Linked DNA regions of Struthio camelus. The protein of the gene in region 1 binds, or shares a complex with, the protein of each later gene. Links are inferred from orthologs where the notes say so. Each region holds a gene or a part of one and is shown in the gene's direction. Other genes may lie near its edges.

Region 1 (7,684 bases):
TAGCATTTTCTTAACTGGTAAAGTTTATATTACACAAAGATGAACCTAGGAACGAGCACAAACTTATTGGACTGTCCCTTTCCCAATATGAATGCACTGCATAGTGTATATACTAACATTTATGTTAAAATTTCTTCATGCAGTTTCCCTCTAGGGAGAGGAAGCGAGATGGAAAAGGCTGCATGTGACAGATGCTAATTATGCAGCTTACTGCACTTCTGGAAGTTGCAGTGATGAGAACTGTATAAGAACGTATGTAGAAAATAGAAAGTGTATTTTCAATGACATTTTTTCACAATATTTTTTTATCTGCCTCCTCCCTCTTTTTTAAGGAGACTTTATTTCCCAAATAGCACCTGCAGTAACCAAAGGCAAGCTATGTCACAAGATCCAAAATTTGTCACACACGGATATAACTATTATCCAGTGTGTCTTAATGTTATTTAGTACTGTTCGTGTAATGAGGAAAGTTGATGACCTGAAGGTTCTGTATTTCAGGTACGACACAAGAAGAGAATGATTTGAAAAACAAATTCTAGTTGATGTACTAGCTTTGTTTCCTCTTTTGTCAATATTTTCTTGATTCTTCCTCCTGTAATAAGGTTTTGGAAAAATGATGTTCTGCTCTTGACTGTCCCTTGGTCCTATGTAAGTACTTACTACTATTAATATGTAAGAACTAATGAACTGGGTCTCAAAATGCGTTTTACAAATAAGTAAACTGAGATACAGAAACCGAGTTCCTCAAAACTAGGAAGTGAATCAGTGCCAAAACCAATGTTAGATGCTAGATTAATCCTCTGATCCGGACATTGAACTGTATTATTTCAGGGAAAATAAATAGATTCTCAGCTAGTGACAATTTGGTGTTATCCTGAATTCAGTGGAGAAATGCAAGTTTACATTTGTTATGAGGCTAGCCCACAGTGAGGCATCTTACTGGATTTCCATTCCCTCCACCAAATCCCAGTTTTACCAAAGGATACTTTCTCTGTCAGAGGAAGACCATAACGGTTCTTGTGTATTAATGCCAAGTGCTGCTTTCTTTTATTTCCTTCGAAGTGTTGGATTTCTCCTTAGGGAGGTGTGACTTAAAAACGTTGCCAGGGAACTCTCTCTCTGTGCAGTAAGACAACCACTCTAATGACCAAAGTGGAGCACGGAAACTTTGGAGGTCTTTTGTGTGCATCTCTGCCCACGGCAGCATGGAGAAGTAGGTTCAAACGCTGCTGCAGAGCAAATCCTCCTCGCATGGTCCTCATCTCCAGTCACCATGGAGAAAACCATCTGTTCTACTTGGAAAGGGGCTGGGGTTGCACACTGCCCTCCCCCCACATCCCTGCTTCATCCCCAGCTGCTGTATTTAGATGAGCAGTGAGGGAATGAATCTCCTGTGTTAAAAATACTCCCGTTCTATTTAGATAAGAAGCAAAATTTTGCTTGCCTACACTGACATACAAAAATAGTCTTGGTGTGAGTAAATCTTCAAAGTTTTGTCTTAGCGAAAATATCTATCCTCCTTATTGTTTCTACTTATCAGATAGATTTATTTATAGAGCGTCCTTCTTTCCTCCCACTCTATCAAGACGTTTGCCGAAGGTTGCCACTCGTCTTGTTCGTGAGTCCCGAAATAATTTGTAGGGCCTTTGAAACATCATCATGTTGCATAGTTGTGATGCAATGTGCTGCTCTTGCAAGAACATATCATATTTTAATGTGAATGTCATGTTAGCTGAGTAATGTGTCTTTCTTTTACTGTAGACGCTTCAGTGGTTTATATATTTTTTTTTACTTTAGATACTTTACAGTGGTTTATATTTCCACTTAATTTTGCAAACCAAACATTCTAAATATAATGTTAAATTTTACATTCTACATGCAAGATATTGCATTTAGTGCAATAGAAAATTAATATGTAACATGGGAGTATTAACAAGATGAGTATACTTTCAAAATATTTCCTAAAAATAGCTTTCACTTTGTCACTGTAGCATCTTAATTCTGAATACTCTCTAAGTCCTTCTGCAAATCTGTACACGTAGTAACAGAGGTACCACCTACTTCTTCCTCACGAGTTACACGATCTACATCCGTACATGAAAACTTGAATTTTGGAGTACGGTTTTGCTGCGGCAGCAGATCCGATGTCTGTGGCACTCCTGAAAACATAAGCTCCTGTTCTTAATGCTTGCGTAGCTCTTTAAAAAGGCTTCGCGCTCCCCAGTGCCCGGTGCCAACGTGGTATTGAGCGCCCGTCTCTGCCAAGAGCTGAAACGTGTAGAGAGCGAGCCAAGATAAGACTTTCCGCGCTCATAGGTAGGTGAAGCAGCCTGTGCTCGGACTTTGGCCCGAGGCGGGCCAGCTGCGAGCGGATGCTTGAGAAACACCTCGGTAAAGCGCCGTACGGGCCCCCCGACGGGCCGCGGCGCTGCCGGGAGCCGCTGCCCGGGCGCCCCGGCGGGGGAGCCGCGAGCGGCGCAGGGCCGCGCCCGCTGCGGGCCTCGCGGGAAGGCGGGCCTCGAACCCGCGGGCGCCGCAACTCCCGCTGCGCCCAAACGCGCGGCTCAGCCCGCGGCGCCACGCCCGGCGGCGGCCGCTAGATGGCGGCCTCTCAACGAGCAAAGCGCCGCGCTCTCTAGCGCCGCCTCCGCGGCTGCCGGCCGGGCTCCGCCGCTGCAGCCGCCTTCGCCCGGCAGCGACGGCGGCCATCGCTGGGCAGGCCCACGTGACGGCGTGGCGACCAATGGGAGCGCGGCAGGGGGGCCCCGACTCTCGTCCCTGTGGCCGCCATTAAAGAAAAAGGGGCTCGGAATTAAACGGGAGAAGAAGCCCCCCTCCTCCCCCTCCCCGCGGCGGCCGCGACGCGACATGGGGGAGACGCGCTGAGGGGCAGCCGGCTGACCAGGATGCCGCGGCCGGGCAGCCGCCGACAGAGGCACCGCTGAGAGAGAGCGAGCGAGGAGGAGGAGGAGACCCGCCAGCGGGGGCTTCGGGGCACCGACTCCGCCAGCAGCAGCAGCAGCGGCCGCCGCGTCCCCTCGGTGTCGGCGCCCGGCGGCGGCAGCAGCGGGGCCGGGATTTGCGGGGCTCCGACCCCTTTCCCCCGCGGCCCTTCCGGCTGAGGAGAGCCCGGGGCTCGGCCGCCGCCGCCGCCTCCCCGCCCTCCCGAGGAGACCTCGGGCAGGGGGCCCTCCGCCCACTGCCCCCGCCGGGCCGCCGCGGCGGGGCAGCGCCGAGCCTTCCCGCGGCCCTCGCGGAGCCCCCTCACCTGGGGCCAGCGGGGGGGGGCCGGGGCTCGCTCCCCTCCCCCCGCCGAAGAGACCGCCCCGCCTGAAGACTGATATTTTATATTTCTCTCCTTTTTTTTTATTTTTTTTGCTTGTTTTTTTTTTCCTTTAATTTTTTAAAGGGTCCAGCCTCGCAACTAGGCTGCTTCTCCTCCCCCCCCCCCCTTCCAGCTCTCGGGGGTCTTGCGGGGCTTGTCGCGGTGGAGGGGGCCCCCCCGCCTCCTGCTCTCGGCGGGCGCTTGGCGGGGTGCGGGCTCCCCTGAAGAGACCCGCCCAGCCGTGTGGACTTCGCGGGGCTCCCGCGGCCCCGGAGGACAGCTTTTTTTTTTTTTTTTTTTTTTTTTTGGGGGGGGGGGGGGAGACGAGCCTCCCCGAAGACGCTCTGGGATTTGCCCCTTCCTCCTCCTCCTCCGAAAAGACTGGGGCTCGGCCTCCGCCGCCAGACGCCTCCGTCCTTCCCCGAAGAGACTTCGAGGGTCACCCACAGTTTCCTCCTTCCGACCCCCTCCCCTTCCCCTCCCTCCTTTCCCCCCACGGAAGGATCCCCCCCCCCCCGCCGCCGCCAGCGGAGGATATTTTGGTCTCACCCTCTCAGCGAAGAGTATTTCTTTTTGGGGAGGGGGGGTTTCCGCAAGGGAATTTAATCCCTTGCTGGGCTGCCGAGGAGACTTTTTGCGGCCTCTCCTCTCTCAAGGAATACCTTCCCCCCTCCCCTGCCCCCGCAGATGGTTTTCGGGGTGCACCCCAGGAAATTTCCTTCTCCTGCCTTTACGAATTCTTCAGGCTTGCCTTGCTTCTGGCCCTAAAGTTTGTTTTTTATGATTTTAATTTTTAATTTATTTGGAATATATTTGGAGCAGGGAAGAAGAATCTGATTCTCCCCCCCCCCCGCCCCCTACCCTGTTGCCCTCGGACTCCGAAGAGACGAGCCTGGATTTTGCTCTCTCCCACCACCAGTCCTTCCCAGTCATTCCACGATTTGCCCCTTTCCCATCTGATGACTAAAGAAGCAGGAGGGAGGTTTCTGGATTAATTGCCCCCATCGGATTATTTATTTTTTCCTACTTCTCTTGCTTGGCCTCTGAGATAAGAGGAAGGAGGGATGTCAGCTGATTTTTACCCCTAGCCCCCTGGATTAATTACCCCCTTTTTATCCTCTTGTTGGATCAATTACCCCCTTCACCTTACCTCCGCTCCCTCCCCTCCTTACGCGAATGAGAAGACAAGAGGAACAGGGAGGATTTTGATCTTAATCTCCTGTCGTTGGATTACTTACCACCTCCCTCTTTCTGCTCTCCCCTTCCATGGTGGCTTTACCCCCCCTCTTTGATATCCAGAAGAAGAGAAAACGTTCTGAGTTTCTCTCTCTTTTTTTTTTTTTTAATTGTTATTTTTAAAAGCCCTGTCTTATACCACTCTCCTCCTGGATTATTTATCCTGCCACTATTTTGTGTGTATGTGCGTATGTAAATCCCTTATTTAATTGTATTATTATTTGTGCGTGTGCCTAGTCCCCCCCCTCCCCCCTTTCCCTCGCAGTGTCTGTCTCTCCCTCTCTCTCTCTCTCTCTCTCGCTCTCTCTCTCTCTGTCTGTCTCTTTCTTTCTTGTCGGAGGCTGTGGGATAATGGCGTGTGGGTTGTGGCTGTGAGGATGAGTTCCTGCTTCGTGCCGAACGGGGCCAGCCTGGAGGATTGCCATTCCAACCTCTTCTGCCTGGTGAGTGCCCGCCGCCGGCGCACACGCACCGCGGGCGCGGAGGGGGCGAGGGAGAAGCTTTCGGGGGGAGGGGAGGAAGGGGTAGTGGCAGCAAAGCAGCCATTTTTAGCATAGCTTCTGTTGGATGAGTCCTCAGAGTAGGCCCTGCCTGGAGCCAGCCAACTCTCCGGTGCCCCTCTGCTTCCCTCCCTCCCCCCCCCCCCCCGCCGCTGCTGTCTATCTAATGTTGCCCCTCCCTCCTTTTTCTCTCGATATTCTCCCTACAACTTGCCTTTTCCTGCTGTTTCCTTGCCTACAACTTTTTCTGCTTTCTCTTTAACCTTATCTCTGCTACTGAATGTGGTGTTTCCAGCAGGAGGTAGGGGGATCTCCTGCTCCTTTTCTCCCTGCCCCACATCTTCTTCCTCTAGTGAACTTTCTCCCCCCCTCCTCCCGCCCCCGTGACATCCCGAACAAATTCAGAGCTGAGACCTCCCCCTTTGCTTCCTAAATGGTTTCTTTTATTGCTTTTCGTTTATTTTTGTTTTAATTATTCTGGAGATCTGTTTTTAGTGATGCACTCTGTATGAAGTAGTGATATCTTCTGTTTTATTGTGCACCATTTTGTAGTGTGTTTTTTTTTTTTTTTAAACCTAAGTATGAAATTGTTTAAATTCTTGATTTTAGGCAGTTCCCGATTTGATTTAACTGGACCATGATGCAATTCTTGGTGGTTGTGATGACCTGTTTCATCTGCTTTCTCAGGCATATTAGCTAATTTTAGATGACTGCCTGGTATTTATTATTCTAGAGATTGTTATAAGTAAAAACCTGTGCCAAGCTGTTGTGCTGGTATTTTTGGAGGGAGGGGAATCTGGACAACCTGAACGTGCCTTCAGATTGCATCAGGCCTGCAGCTCCATATCAGTAGTATGTTTTTAAATCTTAGTCTTTCTAAGGTATCAACTGTTGCAAACTCCCTACCTTTCATCTAAATTGCTCCTTACTGAAGGTAGGAAGGCTGCCATGTTAGGTTTAAATGTTGCAGTAATCTTGTGTGTTGTCACATTAGGAAGAAAAAATTAGTTCTTGGCAAGTGTGCCATCTAACCTTCCTTCTCCCTTCTCAAATAGATCCCATGGGCAATGCTTCCAAAGTGCCTTAAGGTGACTGTTCTCAAGTGGGGGGGGGGGGGAACTTTGGTAGCCTTAAAACTTGGTACAGTGTTGCTTTGTAGATTATTCAGGAATTGTCTCTTTCCTATTAGGTATAATAATTGCAACTCTTTTACTTTGTAAAGTAATGTGGATCTTTGTCTGGAAGGGGATTTAGTGCATCTTAACCAGTGTGGACTTAAATCAGATATGTAATTTTCAGGATAGAAACAGGATTTAAAATTCTTAAAATGTAGTGTGAGAAATGAAAAGCACGAGAGTGCACTCGAAAGGCTTCCTGTGTGAGGGAGAGAATATTTTAAAATGGATAAGCTTGTGAAATTTTCCCAAATGCTAGATTACTGGAAGAATGTATGCTTAAGCTAGATGTACTGTATTATCTATTTCCTTAGAGAAATATTGAATTTAAAAGGTAGTGTATGCATAAATAAAGCTTGAAGATCTTTGCTAAGGTAAATGTTTAATGTAATTATTTGCAGACTATAACTGTACAATTTACTAATGTCATGCACTTTTTCAGTTTTTTATTTAAAATTAAATCTTACTTTTCCCTCTGCAATCTTAATGCTGCAGTGAAAATTAACCACTCTTGCTTTACTGCAGTTATTTAAAGAGATTGAAAATAAACAGGCACCTTATTTTATAATGTATCTTGTAAGTATAGTTTATCTTAAGTTTTGCTGATATAATCCTTCCTTGTTCCTCCCACCCTCCTCTTTCTGTGTCACCATCTTGGTATAGCAGGGTGTTTCAGTTACAAAAAGCTGACCGTTTCCAGTTCCCTTCCAAGAGACTTGGAATTACTTCTCGACTTTGGTTTTCCTCCTTGTCCCCCTTCCAGTGTCTGATAATTGTTCTTTTCCTTCCCTTAGGCTGATCTAACTGGGATTAAATGGAAGCGATATGTATGGCAGGGTCCAACATCTGCCCCAATTCTCTTTCCGGTCACGGAAGAGGACCCTATTTTGAGCAGCTTCAGTCGCTGTCTGAAGGCGGATGTACTTGGTGTTTGGCGTCGAGACCAAAGACCTGGACGCAGGGAGCTATGGATATTTTGGTGGGGTGATGATCCCAACTTTGCTGATCTTATTCATCATGATCTTTCAGGTAGGTTTAATTAAAATACCTTCTGTTGACTGGTGGAAGGATACTGTTACTCAGGGCTGTCTCCTGCCAGTCTTTACAAAATCTATACTAGGTGGACTATTTATTGTCTATAGTTTTATTACTACAAGTCTGTGACTTTTGAGTTTGTGGTGATAGTGGATAGGGCTCTCAGAAAAGCCAAATTATGGCAGTGCGCTAGTCAAACAGTTGGTATCTGTTTAGGTGGTCTTTGGCTGCTAGATATTCAAGGAGCAATTTTGTGCCCCCCACTTATTTACTGTGTTTCTTTTGAGAAATCAAGTAAGCCTAAGAATTTTGACTTTGACTTTCTCAGAAAAGATATGCCCTGAGCTTTGCTTGTGAATCAAAAGTGGGGGGGTCTGATGTCTTAAATATGTTTTGATAAGATCTCTTTTGTT
Region 2 (7,427 bases), on another chromosome or scaffold:
AGATGTGTTGCTGCATGACTGTCTTCTATGCAGGACCTGGATCCAAAGAACTGAAGTACGTTTCTTAGTGACTTGCACTTGTGCCAGAGCCCGGGACACCTTGTTAAATCACGCACATTAGTAGTCTAATCAACTTGACAAAAAAGTGCAGTTAAATATAAAATAAAACGTACTTAACTTTACATACAAAACTATTTGTACAATCAACACTTCAGCTTTAAATAAACTACTTTCTTAAATACAGCCAGTATTCAGCTAACTCATCTGCACATTAACAGCTGCAACGTTTCTAGAAAATGATCAGTCTGTGTAAGTATCACAACATTTGTTTTTCTTTACAAACAGAAAAGAACCCTCCAGCCCCTAATATTCTGTTGCCTTCAGCTTTCACTAATCTAAGCAGAAGTGGAAGATGTACAGTACTTAGCAGGGCTGGCCCTTTCTCATTGAGTATCAAGCTGGGAATAATTTTTAGTCAAACTGCTAAAGAATATCCCTTTGGCTTCAGTGTGAAACCGTTAGCAGGTAGCTACTTTTAAATGAAGAGTAGCTGGTCTCTGAAAAGCATAATCTGCATGTTTAAATTTGGCAAATGAGTGAATGGAGTGGAGATGACATTCTAGGGGCATTCTAATGGCATGGGGACATGTGGTTGTTGTAGGAATCCATTTAAAAATACAAGGATGAGAAAGCAAAAAAAGATATATGCTGTTATATTTTCCCCCTCTGTTTACAAAGACTGCAAATTAAGTAGCCTTTTGTAGTAGTAGTAGATTACGTAGTTTTTTGTATATTCCCCAGCTACAAGCTTTGCTTCGCAGATTCTGATTCTTCCACCTACACTGTGGACATTAGCATGCCAACATGCTCACAACAAAACCAGCTTTGCTTTCAGAATCTGCAGGGCTGCTGCTCCAGCTCGGGTACAGAACCCTCTTTATCTGGTGCCTTACCTCAACAGTCAACATCTGCTTATTACTACAGTCCTGCCAGTTCCCAGACAATTCAGCTCTTTCACTGCGAAATACAATTCCCTACATTCAGAGACATTTAATGAAGTGAACCTTCGTGACTACTTTCCTCTTTGAGCTGATACTGCTCACTTGGATAACCATCTCCAACCCACTATGCTTTCTCAATGCTAACACAATGACAGTTACTTTTCTATGGAGAACTGATTTTCTTCAGGTGTAGTGGTTTCAGACAAAAAAACGTCAAAAGTGTTTGCGTGCAGGAAACTAGATACAACACAAAGTTGGAATAGGAAGATCTTGTAAAGGATAGCGTGAAAGATAGAGGAAAAGGGGAAAGCTCTGGTTAAATGAATTCAGCAGGGCATGTTAAGCATACATTTACAGCTTTTTAAATTGATTTCTGAGACAGCAGGAAAGGAGAGATGAAAAAAATGTTTGTATGAAATAAGAAAATCTATCATGAAAAGCACTTCTTGCCAATTTAAAGACCCATTGTGGGGACCTGAGAGTCAAGAATAGCAGATCATGGCCTGGTCATCTCTTTCTTTTTAAGAACGGAGCAAAAAATGAAACTTTTCTTGATATTATGCTGTTGTACTTTGACAGATTTTTTAAAACAAATCACAGAGAAGTATGCATTTTTTCCATGAAATAAAATTGAAAGTTGGTCCTGAAACGTCAGTATTAATGTCTTACCATTAAAAAGATCAAGATGTTCTTGCTTTTCCAAGTCTCTTAGGACTTGGTACTCATCCATTTGAATTGGTAAAACTAGATGTTACCCACAATAAAAGCATCTGAAGTAAAAACAAAGCGAAGAAGCAGAAAACTTTAGTTACGCTACTTCTAAATGACATACAAACCAAATGTTAGGAAAGGCTAATGAAAGAAACATTTGCAGGGAGGCAGACTTCTAAACACTCTTACGAAAGGATCAAAACCTAAAAGAGAAAAAAAGTTATTTTTATTGTGGTTTTGTCTTCTGAGTTTGTTTGGCAAAGTATGGAATTCTTTCCAAATGGTTTAGTGTAAACATGTAAAAAGTATCACAGGTCCTCAGAAAACGAGTCTGGATTCTATATCCCCGTTTGTATTCATGCTGTCTTTTCTTTCTAAGCAGACATTGATTCTCCTCCACACCCTGTCATGGTTTAGATGGGGATAGACTAAGTGCATGCATTCATTACTGTGCAATAATTGGATTGGTGTGAAGGAGTTTGGATATTTATTGCCTGTGTGAAAGAGTGATGAATAATGCAAAGAACACTACAAAGTTACAGCAAAGGGATTATCTCTACTTCCTTTCTCCTTGCTGACAGGAGTGAGAGTTGTCAGGAGGAGCAGAGCGCTGAGAGCGGTGGCTCCAGCTCTGCAAGCCTGGTCCCAGGTGCCCCGGGAGGTTCTCCACGGTCAGGTGTCCCTGAAGGTATTGTCATGCCGCTCTCCTGCAGACTGAGGTGGATGAGTTTTAACAGGTGGAGAGCATCTTCCAGACTGTTTCATCTTTGCTGGTTGGCAGACCACTGCAAGCTGTTTCTTGTTGATTGGTGTAGCGAGTTGCCAGGCAAATGTTCTTGCATAAATTTTATTCTGGTATTTCTACTAATTACATGTGGGTTTTTTTTCATAACATCTGCGTAATTGTGCTTTATCTAACAAAAGTTACGTCCCTAACAGCTACATACCGAAGGTCAAACTGTGGGCCTCTGACATCAGTAATTATTTGAGTAATGTCAGTAGGGCTGACACATCCCTATGCCCAATTTTCAGGAATCAAGCTTAATGTGTAAATTAAAATGGAAAAACATTCAGAAAGTACCAGAAAATATAATTTTTCGATTAGAATCCCCCAAACTGTGCAATATTTTGTCTCTCGTGGAGGGATGTGAGCGCCCACTAACCAGCACTGCATTCTTGAGATGCAATGTGCTGCATTTACGCGCAATTGCTAAAAATGCCAAAAGCTGGGCTGTACTTAAAGAGACTCCTGCACTTTTAGTTCAGTTACACAGTCCCTACTGCAAAAGCCGTCTCCCTGGCCTTGCGTTGGGTTTAGTAACTGAAGCTGTGCCAAGGACGGAGAGGAATCAGAGGGCGACGGCTTCCCGGGAGGGCGCAAGGGCTTTGCGAAAGGTGCTGCTTCCGCAGGGCGCGGCAGGCGGCGGGAGGCCGGCGTGCCGCTGCGCTCCCAGGCAGAGGGTTCGCCGCACCCCAACTCGCGCGAGCTTACTGAGCAGAACAGCGTTAAAACACGACTTGGCAGCCGCGGCAGGCAAGGACCATCCGGCACCATCCGCCTGGAGCAAGCTGGGCACCGCAACGCCCCCCGCGCCCGGGGCACGGCACGCCGCGAGGACAACGCGCGCTGCCTCCTCATGACGCCACGCCGACAGCCTGCTGACGCCACCAGTGGCCGCAAGTTCGCAACGCCCAGTGCTGCGCCTGCGCCTGGAGACCCCGCGGCCGGAGCCGCGCCGCCGCCGCCGCCTCCCGTAGCGGGCCGTGCGGCCGGAGCCGCGCCGCCGCCGCCGCCGCCGCCTCCCGTAGCGGGCCGTGCGGCCGGAGCCGCGCCGCCGCCGCCGCCTCCCGTAGCGGGCCGTGCGGCCGGCGGCGCGGCCCGCCTGCCCCCTCTGCCCCCCGCCCCGCCCTGCACCGCCGCCCCGCAAAGCACCCAGGGACTACAGCTCCCAGGAGGCAGCGCGCCGCCTTGCCGGCTGAAGACTACACCTCCCAGCATGCCCCTCCCGGCCAAGACTACAGCTCCCGGCAGGCAGTGTGGGCGCTCCCTCCCGCCTCCCCCTCCTCTGTACTACATCTTCCAGGGTGCATCTGGCCGCCCCTTGCCGCAAAGCATGCCGGGCCGGGCGGTGGGGGGCGGGGCTGCCGGCGGAGGTCGCAGCCGGCCGCGGTCCACGTGGTGCGCTGCCCGCCGCACCCGGTGCCGGGGAGGCGTCTGGGCTTTGCGACGCTTCTTTGCGGCAGTGCGGTCAGGCGCGGCCGCCGTATTCCGCCCGGGTGACCGGCTGTCGTGCCGCTGCCTGGCCGAGGCGGGGAGGGGCGGCGGAGGACGGGGCTCGGGAGGGGAGGGAGCAGCCCCGCCGCCCGCCCGCCTGCCCCTGGATGGTCCGCGGGGCGGCTCGGCGGCCTCCTGCTGCTGCTGCTGCTGCTGCCGGGGCGCGGCGGGGCGGGGCGCGGCGGGGAGCGCGGCGGTCGGGGGGCGGCGCGGGGCGGCTCGGCGCGGCGCGGCGGGCGCTGAAGATGGACTATGACTTCAAGGTGAAGCTGACCGGGGAGCGCGAGCGGGTGGAGGACCTCTTCGAGTACGAGGGCTGCAAGGTGGGCAGGGGCACCTACGGGCACGTCTACAAAGCCAAGCGGAAGGACGGGTGAGTGAGGAGCGCGGCTCCCCCCGTGGCGGGCCGCCGCCGCCACCCTCCCCCCTTCCCCCCCCGGCCCCTCTCGCCCTGCCCGCGCCTCCTCCATCTTCCCCGCCCTGCCGCCGGGGCTCCCGCGCCCACCGCTTCCTCCTCTCCCCGGCACCTCCTGGGCCGCCGCCGGTCCCCGCCGCGCCCGGCGCCGCAGCCCTGGGGCCTTGCTGCACTGCCCCTCGGTGTCTCGGTGCCCGGCGTGTCCGTGCACGGGCCCCCCGCCCGGCCGTTCATGCCGCCTTTCCTCTTGCCCTCTCTTAGCTTCTCTCTCGCTGGCGCGTCTTCCTCTGGTGCGCTGTTAAAACCCGCTGCTCGGCTCGCCTGTGCTTGCTGTCTCGTACGTCACCCGGAGCGTGCTTTAGTCTGACCGTTCCTATCCCTTCAGTGTAATGCTGGAGTCTTGTTTTCCTACTGATAGCTTTTGGAGGAAAAAAAGAGAAAGATCTAGTTTAGGAAAACGCTTAACCAATTTCCACTTTGAATAAACAAGTAGCCACCTCAAATGTTCACCATCTGCCCTGTAGAACAGGATTTTATTTTTTCCATAGTGCTTTTTTTTTTGTCTGATTTATTACTTGTAGTCACCATTTTGGGTGTTCTTCCTGGCTGCTCCTGGAGCTGAAGTCTGCTGGACCTTTCAGGGCTTAAAAATATTTTGAAAGATCTATGTTTGTGACTAGTTCTTTGTACAGACTTGAGTAAAATTTCCTGGCACAAATGTTTAAAAGAGCAAATACAGCTAACTGTGGGTTCGCTAATCCATGACATGGCACCACTTTTTCAACAACAGAACAATAGGAAACAGGGAGCAGAAGAAATAGGGGGGGCAGAGCTTGTTCTTGTAATAGATCCTAAATTTTAAATTACACGTTATTTTTGCTGCAGTCTCATCACAGTAGTGCTTTGTGTGTTCCAATTGCTATAATGTGTATTTTAAAGCTCTGGGTATTCTTTTTACATTTGATAAATAAAGCACCTTTAAAAAGGCCTTTGTCACTTATGACTGAAATATGATCTGGTTCTTTTTACATGTTATAATTCTAGAAATGCTCAACGAACCTACGGAATGATTTTGTAATGGGATTGGTTACGCCTTATTTTGTCTAATGTGCCTTAAACATGCTCATATTAATAGTAGCACAGCTATTTCTGTGTGAATCTTGTTCACGGCTATGAGTCAGCTCACTTTTTTTTTTCAAATTTTAAGTTGGATCCTTCAAACCTGTACTGTTCAGAAGAATAGTTCTTACATTGTCTCAATGTTTTTTTTTTTTTTTTTTTTTTTTTGAGTTTGAGAGGCTGTAGCCTCAAGTCTCCTTACGTGCAGGTACTTTGCTGTTACAACCAACTCTAGTTTCGGTAAAGATAAGGAGACCTCTAATATGAGAATAGGTGAGGTATTGAAAGATATTAACTAAGTCTCCAATTTACGTCAAACTCTTTGCAGCCGTTAAGCATGCTGGACTGCAGCAGTATATAGGGAATTCAGAATTTGATACTGGTGAAGCATTATTCAAACATTTTTAGTCAAATTATCAGTCTGCTTGATGATATTTGGGACAGAGTGTCTAGAGCTACTGGTGCTAGTGTTATTTTGAGTAATTTCAGCAAAATATAACTGTGTTTTTAAAAATGGATAGCTAAAGACCAAATGGGGTCTTTAGCGTAGATTTTTCTCTCAGTTATTCAGAGTGTATGATTTAAATCTTTAAATCAGTCCTATCTTTTCTGCGGAAAAAAATCAAGGTATGATATTTGATTAGGCTCTGTCAGAAAACTGATGAGTGAAATACATTGTCTACTTTTTTGCCATGTTGTTCACTTAGTGGCTCCTTCTTTTTCCCTTCCTCTGTTGTCTCTTATTTGCCTTCCAGGTTCTGAAAGCTTTCTGTATGAAATATGCTATGTAATTGCCCTTAAACCGTCACTCAGATATGTAAGATATCAGTGTCTCTGGATGATTTTGTAGTTTCTAGTGTACTTGCAGATACATGATCTTAAATTATACGGATGGATTTCAGATTGAAGTTAAAGGTTCTGTTTAGAGACCTTTATCAAAAGGAATCAAGTTGTGAAAGCAAACATGTAATTACTCATTTTCTGTAACTATGATGATGGATGAATGGACATTGTGTCTTACAGTGATAAGCTTATGAAAGATAGAGTTCAACTTTTTCATGTTCTTATATGCCAAATAATACTATTTCGTTATCCCCCAAATAGTAGATATTGGTGGATGAGTAACCGTCTTGAGTAAGTCACTTGTAGTAAAGAAAGTTTGAGCTGCATAAGTACATGTGAAGTTACCGTTTTGCTCTCTTTAAGTTTTCAAACTTTTTTCCTTAAACATATACATGTACTTTAAACTTCATTATATACTTTTGATTGTTACTTTAAATAACAAAAGCCCCTTTAAGCCTATTCATATCCCTCAGTTTTCAAAGGACTTTGAAGAATGTGTGTTACAGGACTGTGAACGTTTTATTGAAAATATTGGAGCTCTTTTAAAATGACAACACTTTTTGCGTACAGATTTCTAATGAACAGAACAAACACTGAGGAGAAATAATAAGTCAGTGTGTGCAAATATATATTTGGAAGCTCTTGATGATGAAAATCCAGTTTAACAGTAGTAAGAGTTAGTGTTTTTAGTATGACAACAGACTTCACTTCTTTTTTTCCTGGTTGCTTTTACAGTTGCCTCTGAGGTGAAATGTGACAGTACAAAACTAGATAGCAGCTTCATGTCGGAACTGTTGGAGGAGACTTAAAGGCAATGTATCCAGCTGAAACTACATGGGGATATTTTGGGAGACAGTCTTACAGTAATCTCGGTGTAGTGAGAATCCTAAAGAGAGAAATAGACCATATGCTCTTTAGTGACCTGACAAGAGCATACTGTGGTTTTTATGACCCACTTTATGAAAGAGCCAACCCAGCCATGTGGTGCCCTTTGCCACAAAGTGAGGCTTTGGGTTTGTTGAGATGGGGTCACCAGATGCAGTTTCTTGTATGTTCACTGCCA
Region 3 (7,635 bases), on another chromosome or scaffold:
GGACGGTGCCCACGGCAGGCGGGGGATGGTGTCTGTGGAGGGACGGGGACGGTGCCCACGGCGGGATGGGGACGGTGCCCACGGCAGGCTGGGGATGGTGTCTGTGGAGGCACAGGGATGCTGCCCATGGAAGAACAGGGACGGTGCCCATGGTGGGCTGGGGACGGTGCCCATGGCGGGATGGGGACAGTGCCCACGGTGGGATGGGGATGGTGCCCATGGAAGGACAGGGATGGTGCCCACGGCAGGATGAGGACAATGCCCATGGAGGGATAGGGATGGTGCCCATGGAGGGGGATGATGCTCATGGAGGGACAGGGATGGTGCCCATGCAGGAGGAGGATGGTGCCCATGGAGGAGGAGGACGGTGCCCATGGAGGGACATGGATGGTGCCCATGGAGGAGGAGGACGGTGCCCATGGAGGGACAGGGATGGTGCCCATGGAGGAGGGGGGTGATGCTCCAGGGTGGTTGGGTCAGTCCCCAAGGCAGGCTGGGGATGGTGCCCACGGCCCCCACGGTGCCCATGGAGGGACAGGGATGGTGCCCATGGAGGAGGGGGGTGATGCTCCAGGGTGGTTGGGTCAGTGCCCAGAGGGGATGGGGACAGAGCCCGCAGGAAGCCAGCGGGGCGGCGACGTCTGCGATGCGTGGGGGAGCCGGGGCCAGGCCCTGCGCTGCCCCCGGGCCGGCCCCAGCGGGACACGCCGCTCCACGCTCAAGGGGGTGCCAGGACCCCCGGGAACTCGGGCGAGCGAAGCAGGGCCAGCGCCCGGCCGTGCACCCCTGGGTGCCCACCGAGGCACGTCCCACACCCGGCACGGACAGGCCCCCTGCACCGGCACCCACCGGCACCCGGGTCTGCCAGGGGAGAGAGACCGTGCCGTGGGGCGGGGACGCGGCCGTGGGGCCGGGGATGGTGGGCGCACTTGGACACCGGGGGGCCGGGGCTGGGGGGAGCCCTGGGGTGCAATAGGGGGCTGCCCCTTAGCAGCCCCCCAGCCTGCCTTTCCCACCCCACCTCCTTCCCAGCAGGCCTTGCGCTCGCCCCCCCGGACTACAACTCCCATCATGCCCGGCTCTTAAAGGGCCAGCGCCCCCTTCCCGCGGGCGGGAGCTGCGGCCGCCCTGGCAGGGATGCTCGGGGGCCGCGGTCCGGGATGGACCCCCGGGATCTCCCCGAGGTGCCGGGGGGGGGTCTCTGCTTGCCCGCTCCCACCCCTCAGCACCTCCCAGCACTGTGGCCCACGCCTTCACGGCTTGCCAAGGCAGCACGGTGGTTGCCGTGGGACGGGTGTACCCAGGAGATGGGGGCACGCAGGGGACGAGGGTACCCACGGGATGGTGGCACCTAGGGGATGGCAGTACCCATGGGATGGGTGTGCCCAGGGAATGAGGGTACCCGGGGGGGGGTATCGAGTGTACAGGGATACCCAGAGCATCGTGGTTCCCATGGGACGGTGGTATTGGGGTGCTACCCAGGGAACGGCAGCGCCCAAGGGATGGTGGTACCCAAGGGATGCTGGTGCCCAGGGGACGGTGCTACCCAGGGAGTGGCAGTACCCAAGGGATGGGGGTACGCAGGGGGCAGCGGTATCCGGGGCACAAGAATACCCGGGGGACGGTGGTACCCAAGGGATGGCGGTACCCAGGGGATGGGGATAACCAGGACATGGTAGCGCGCAGGGCATGGCGATGCCGGGGCATAGCGGTACCCGGAGCATAGTGACAACCAGAGCGTGGCGGTACCTGCGGCATGGTGGCACCCTGGGCACGGTGGTACCCAGGGCACGATGGTGCCCAGGGCAGACCCACCTTCCACCCCGTGCCGGGTGCTCGGCCCCAGCCGGTGGCGGGTGCCCGGCACCCCCGGGCTCGTCGGCTCCCGCCGGCGCCCGCGGCCCCACCCCCAGCCGGCGGCTCGCGGCGGCCGCGCGGAGCCAGCGTGGCAGGGGGAAGGGGCGGCTGCGCGCCCGCCCCGGCCCCGGCCCCGGCCCCGGCCCCCTGCCCTCGCTGTACTGTACACTTTATCCTCTGCAAACACGCGGCGGCGGCGGCGGCTGCCCTTCCCCGCCGCACGCGCCGTCTGCCTGCGATAAGGACGCAGCCAGGGCTGAGTTCATCCTGCCCCCCGGGGCCGGCACGGCACGGCAACCTCAGCAAAACGCCGTGTCCCCGGGTCCCCCCGCGGCCCAGCTGGCCCCGGCGCCGCCGAGACCCCCGGCACCCTGGGGCTGCCCGCACTGAGGGGGAAACTGAGGCAGGGCAGGAGGCTGCCGTTTGCCCCAGCGCTGGCAGCGGACCCCGGCGTCCTGCGGGCTGAGACCCACGCGCGGATGCTCGGCGCGGGTGCCGGGCATGGCGGGCTCGATCCGAGCGCCCGCGGCCGGCCCGGAGCCGGAGGGACGCGGTGAGGCCGCGTCTCGCTCCTGGCGAGATGCGATCGGCCGGAACGAGCTCATTAAAATTCATCCCGCTGCTCTGCGGCGCGAAGCGGCTATATATAGCCGGGGCCTGGCAGCGCGGCCACGGAGCTGGGGCAACGCGCCGCGGGTGCCGCCGAGCCTGCGGGTGACCCCACCGGGGCCCTGCCGCCCTCCGGGCTGCCCAGCGTCGCCCCGGGGCCGCCGCCGGCGCCCAGGAAGGGGGCGACGCTCCGTGGACAGCGCGGGAAAGCGGCCCGGGACCCGGCTGGCCCGCGGGAACCGAGCTTGGGCCACCGGGGACGGACGCAGGCTGGGGTGCCGGGGGCTCCGGCGGGAGCGTCGCCCATCTCCAGCCTGGCCCCCCCCCCCCCCCACCTCCGGCTTCCTGCCGGGAACTCATCATGGGAATAAAATCTTTCACACCCAATAAAATACCAACAGGCAGACACAGGCGGGTGGGAACCGGCCCCGTCTGGCCCCCCGCTCAGAGCAGGGACGAGCGCATCCCGGGGGGGGGGCCCGGACGCCTGGGTTCCCCCGGCGGGCAGGGCGGCCCCCCCGGCTGCGGGGCGCTGGGAACGGCCGCGGCCCCTTCCGGCAGCCCCCGGCGCCGGGGGGCTGGAGGCAGCTGGGCCGCGGCGCCCTGCCAAGGCGGGCCGCGGTGCGGGGAGCTCGGCGAGGCCGCGGCGCCTTCCCGGGCGCCGGCCGCCCCCGCGCTGGGCGGGGGGCTCCGTTCCCAGGCGGTTGAGGGGGGGGGCCGGACAGGGACCCCCGCACCCTGCCGTCCCGTCCCGCCACCCCACGCTGCTCTCGGTGCCCCCTGGAGCCCAGCGGGACGGTTCGGGGTGGCTGAGGGGCCCCTGGGGATGGGAGGGGGTCTTGCTGCCGGGGGCGGGGGGGGGGTTCATCTCGGCCTCGCCGTGCCCCCGCTCCCCCCTGCCGGGGCCCGGGGCGCGGACCCGCGGCCGCGCAGTGTCCGGTTACCCCTCGCCAGCTGCCGGGGACTGTCCCCCCCACCCCCGGCCGCCCCCGCCCCCGGCACAGGAAATCCGTCCTCATGAATAGGGGCCGGGGCCCCCCCGGCTGCCGGGGGCCCGCGGCGCCGGGGCAGCGCCTAATCCCGGCTCCGGCGCAGGGGGATTTGCAGCCGCCCGCGCGCCCCGGCCCCATGAATGATTAACACGGGAATTAAGGGGCCTCGGAGACCCCCGGAGCAGGGGGGGGGGGAGCGGCAGGGCGGGCGCTGCCACATCGTGGGGCTCCCACCTGCTCCCTCTCCCGTGGGGTGCTCCCTCAACCCGTGGGGTGCTCCCTCAACCCGTGGGGTCCCATCCGCCCCCGCGGGGCTGCCCCAAGGCCGCCCGCGCCCCCCCGTGGTTGCCCCAGCGCCCTTCAGCACCTTGGACAGCGGCGTGGGGGTGGGGGGTGGAGCAGCCCGTGGGTGGCCACGCGGGGCCGCGGCCCCGCGCGGGTGGAGGGGAAGGGGGCTCCGGGGAGCCGCGTGTTGCTGCACCACGCGGGGCCGCGCCGCCGGCAGAGCCCCGCCGCGTGCACACGCGTGTCCGCGCACGCCCCGGCGGCCAGGCCCGCGCGCGCCCCCGCCCACGCGCGGCGGCTCTGCGCGCGCGCGCGCGTGCGGGCTCGCGCCTGCATTCCCCTCCCCGTCTCCCGCGCGCCCGGCCGCGCGCGCCTGCCCCCACCACGCGCGCGCGCGCGGCAGCCCGCGCGCGCGCACGGCCACACACCTCTGCACGAGCGCGCGAGCTCGCGCGTGGGTGCGCCCCCGCATTTTGCCCGCCTGTTTCTGCCAAGCCGAGCTCGCGCCGGGGCGTTTTCCCGCGCGTGTTTTGCACGCCCGTGTCCGCGCGCGTGCACTCCCCCCCCTCGGCGGGCGCGTGTTGCGCGCGGGCGCCTGTCTGCGCGCGTGCGCGCGCGCGCGCGGGGGGTTTCCACACCGCCCCCCCCCACCCTGCTTGCACGCGGGCGGTGTGCACGCGTGCATCGGCGCGGAAGCCCCCGCCCGGCCGCCCTTCCGCGCGCCCCTCTGCGCGCACGTGTTCGCACCCACGCGCGGCCGCACGCGCGCTGGCGCGCCGCTCCCCCCTCCATGACGCCACCGCCTCTTACTACATCTCCCAGCCTGCCCCGCGCCGCGCCGACCAATCAGCGCGCGGCTTCCTGCCGGGTGCCAACATGGCGGTGCCCAGGCGCTGAGGCCCCGCGGCCTTGTTGGGCGCCGGTGAGCGGAGGCGGCAGCGGTACCGGCACCGGCAGCGATCCCGATCCCGATCCCGATCCCGGGCCGGGCTGACGCGCTCTCCCCGCAGCCATGAAGGTGGTGAACCTGAAGCAGGCCATCCTGCAGGCCTGGAAGGAGCGCTGGAGCGACTTCCAGTGGGCCGTCAACATGAAGCGGTTCTTCCCCCGCGGCGCCACCTGGGACATCCTCAACCTGGCAGGTGAGGGGGGGGGGCTCCTCCTCCTCCTGCTGCCTCAGTTTCCCCCACCCAGGGCGGGTAACGGCGCCGTCGGGGCCCAGGTGCCGCTCTGTGCCCCCCCCCCACTGCCCCCTTTAATTAGAATTTCTTTTCCTGTCCCTATTCAAGGGCGTTTGACACAAATCCTGCCAAACGCTGCTACCTGCTGAGTTACGTGGTTTAAAGATTTGCCAGGCTTTTATGCCAGTTGTAGAAACCTGTTGCTAGGGTGTGCGTTTTGTTGGTGGTGGGTTTTTTTTGTCCCCTGTGCAGCAAGCGCCTGTTTGCAAAGCCGGGATAAACAAACACGAAGCGCCGCTCGAGGACGGCCGTGGAGGGAAACGGCCCTGAGGCGGGCGGTGAACCGCTCCTGGCCGCGCTGAGCGGGGAGGACCTTTTCCCAGCTGACCTTTTTCCCTCGCTCTGTCCTACCCGCGCTTTCTTTCAGCAGCCTCTGGCCCAGCCCCAGCTCCGGAGGGCAGGTTCCTTCAAACCGCGTCCCCGCAGCCGGTTCGGCCCCCACCCGCGGGGGCTCCGTGAAGGGCAGCGCGGGGTCCCCAGGCTTCCCGGAGCTCGGCGACGCCTGTCTCGGTCGTGCCGGAGCTGCGGGGCCGGCTGTGGCCGAGGAGACTGTGGGGCAGCCCTGGGGAAATAGGTTCGCTCGGGGCGGCCGGCGTGGACGCGGCAGCAGGGTGCCGCCGTCTCAGCGCTGCGGGACGCGCAGGGAGGTTCGGGGTGAGCTGGTGCTCAGGAAGGTGGTTCGAGGCCCGGCCCTGCTGCCGGCCAGCTGCTTCCCGGGGTCGATTTCCAGCCCTGCAGCCCTTTGCCTGCCTCACCCAGGCAGGGTCCTCTCCAGCTCAGTTTGCTGAGGCAGCAAGGCCTGTGGGGTACTTGGTGTGGGCCTGCCTGCGTATCCCTGGGAGCAGAGTGGCTGCTTTCTGCCAAATAAAGTCCGGTCAAAGGGTTAGAGATAATCCGCGCCTACAATTTCTGTGAAGACAGGTTTCTCCTGACCACCTCTTAGTGCGGCAGCTGAAGGAAAGGCTCGTTAGCCCAGCCTGCGTTGGAGGGCAGCTGCTCCGCAAGGAGGCGGAGGAAACTGGGTCCGTCTGGCTTCAGGAACTGCTTGTGAGGGGATGTTGGCATTGCCGGGCCTTCCTGGGCAGTGCGAGTGTTGTGTGAGGGCCAGCAGGTTGTGAGCGCGCAGGGAGGGTGTTCCTGAAGGCCGGGATGGCTGTAACAACCGCTGTGTTCATAGCGCTGCTTTCTTTCTAAGCCCCTCTCACCGCAGCCCTGGCGCAGTCTTTCCAAGCTCGTGCGTTTCAGGTTCAGACTACAAAGGAGGAGAATCTGGCACGAGCCGCCAGAATCACGGCGGTGCCCAGCAAATCTATGCTGACACGTCTGCAGTGGGTAACAGCATGTGGCTGGCTCGCGTTGACGCTCCCTGATTAGATGGGGGTGGGAAGGGGGAAGGTTGCCATCAGCCTTCTGTCTCTGAGCCGCGATGCTTTTGCATGTGGTCCGAGCCCCCGTTTGAGATGCCGGGTGCCTTTTGCTTCTGCGGCTGTGATACAGCCGTGGCCGCTCCTCGTTTTCTTTGGGGAGACGGTTTTCTTTGGGGGGGGACGGCTGCTTCCCCTCTCGCGTCTGGGTGCGTTGACCTACTTGCAGCCCGTGCCGCAGCCTGGGGCCTGCTTTTGCGAGGTAGTTCCTGCACTCTGCCATAGTTCAAATGGTCAATTAAAGGCTTGACTGAGCAGATAGGACGGGCAGGAGCCCCTCCAGCTTCCGAAGGCCGGCGCTGGCAGGCAGCCAGCAGGAGGGAGTGCCAGACATGCAGAGCTGATCTCAGCAGAGGGGCTCTTTGCCTCGAGTTCAGCCCCAGGTGCCAGAGCAAAAGTCACTCAGTGGTGGATGCCAGAGCCTCCTGGGCAGTCTGTGGGAGGAAGGGGAACGTGTTTGGAGAGCATCAGGTGCTGTTTGGGGCCTGGGGACCCTGGGAGAGCTGAGTCAGCAGGAGGCTGCTTGTGCTTCCTAAATTATTTACTGGCTTTTGCTGCTGGGATTATAAAGTTATGGGATTCAGTTAATTTCAGGGAAGGTCTGTGCAAAGTCTTTGTGATAAGCACAGTTTATTTTTGTCACCTTCCCTGTGGGATGAGGCAGAGAACGAGAGCACGACGTATGCGTGAGTGTGTGTGTTGGTGCGTGTGTTTCCCCATGTCATGTATTTGCTGACCTGGGACCTCCTGGCCCCTCTCCTTTGCTTGCAGAGGCTCTTCTCGAACAGGCTATGATCGGGCCGTCACCGAACCCACTCATCTTGTCCTACCTGAAATATGCTATCAGTTCCCAGGTAATAACACTCTTTGTGTGCTGCAGGCGCTGCTGGGTGTTGCCTTGCAGCCCCAAGTAGCAGGCGGGCAAAGAAACTGGGGTGTGGCATTGGTGTCGGGCAGACACCCCAAATCTCCCGTCTGCGCCTTGAAGGCATTGCGCCTCCCCCTCGGCCGGGGCGGGTGGCGGAGAGCTCTGCTCGGCACATGCCCAAAGCAAAGATCTGTCTGTAAATAGCGTACGTCCGCCGCCCAGCTGCGCACAGACAGGGTAGAAGTCCTTGCCTTCCGAGAGCCTCTGCAGTTGCTATAAGCCATGCACTTTCTGACTGTAGCATTTAATATTGTTTAAAGTTTGTGTGAAACAAATCAGCGATCACCTAAAAATGTCTG

Evidence for each region.
Region 2: the proteins of MED13 (region 1) and CDK8 are in contact, whole or in part, in a cryo-EM structure (PDB 8TQC), measured with the Homo sapiens proteins. The link is inferred for Struthio camelus from reciprocal best matches to the Homo sapiens genes MED13 and CDK8. Residues at the interface, in NP_005112.2 of Homo sapiens: Thr1616, Met1617, Asp1618, Arg1619, Lys1621, Val1622, Gly1623, Ile1624, Pro1625, Thr1626, Asp1627, Gly1628, Asp1629, Ser1630, Val1732, Lys1733, Thr1734, Leu1735, Thr1736, Gly1737, Phe1738; in NP_001251.1 of Homo sapiens: Leu9, Glu12, Arg13, Arg71, Lys74, His75, Pro76, Leu81, Gln82, Lys83, Val84, Tyr133, Asp137, His140, Tyr141, Met330, Gln331, Phe335, Leu336, Leu340, Pro341, Thr342, Ser343, Asp344.
Region 3: MED13 (region 1) and MED24 share a complex: the UniProt entries of both Homo sapiens proteins name them as parts of the mediator complex. The link is inferred for Struthio camelus from reciprocal best matches to the Homo sapiens genes MED13 and MED24.

The regions. Positions count from the first base shown.
Region 1 is NC_090957.1:18,770,610-18,778,293, forward strand, and holds the start of MED13 (mediator of RNA polymerase II transcription subunit 13), read left to right. Parts: upstream 1-4,521; 5' UTR 4,522-4,938; coding exon 4,939-5,004; intron 5,005-7,030; coding exon 7,031-7,265; intron 7,266-7,684. UniProt on the Homo sapiens protein: Component of the Mediator complex, a coactivator involved in the regulated transcription of nearly all RNA polymerase II-dependent genes.
Region 2 is NC_090942.1:201,383,886-201,391,312, reverse strand, and holds the start of CDK8 (cyclin-dependent kinase 8), read left to right. Parts: upstream 1-4,174; 5' UTR 4,175-4,232; coding exon 4,233-4,360; intron 4,361-7,427.
Region 3 is NC_090966.1:6,789,261-6,796,895, reverse strand, and holds the start of MED24 (mediator of RNA polymerase II transcription subunit 24), read left to right. Parts: upstream 1-4,604; 5' UTR 4,605-4,665; exon of another isoform or gene 4,666-4,753; 5' UTR 4,754-4,755; coding exon 4,756-4,885; intron 4,886-7,179; coding exon 7,180-7,262; intron 7,263-7,635. UniProt on the Homo sapiens protein: Component of the Mediator complex, a coactivator involved in the regulated transcription of nearly all RNA polymerase II-dependent genes.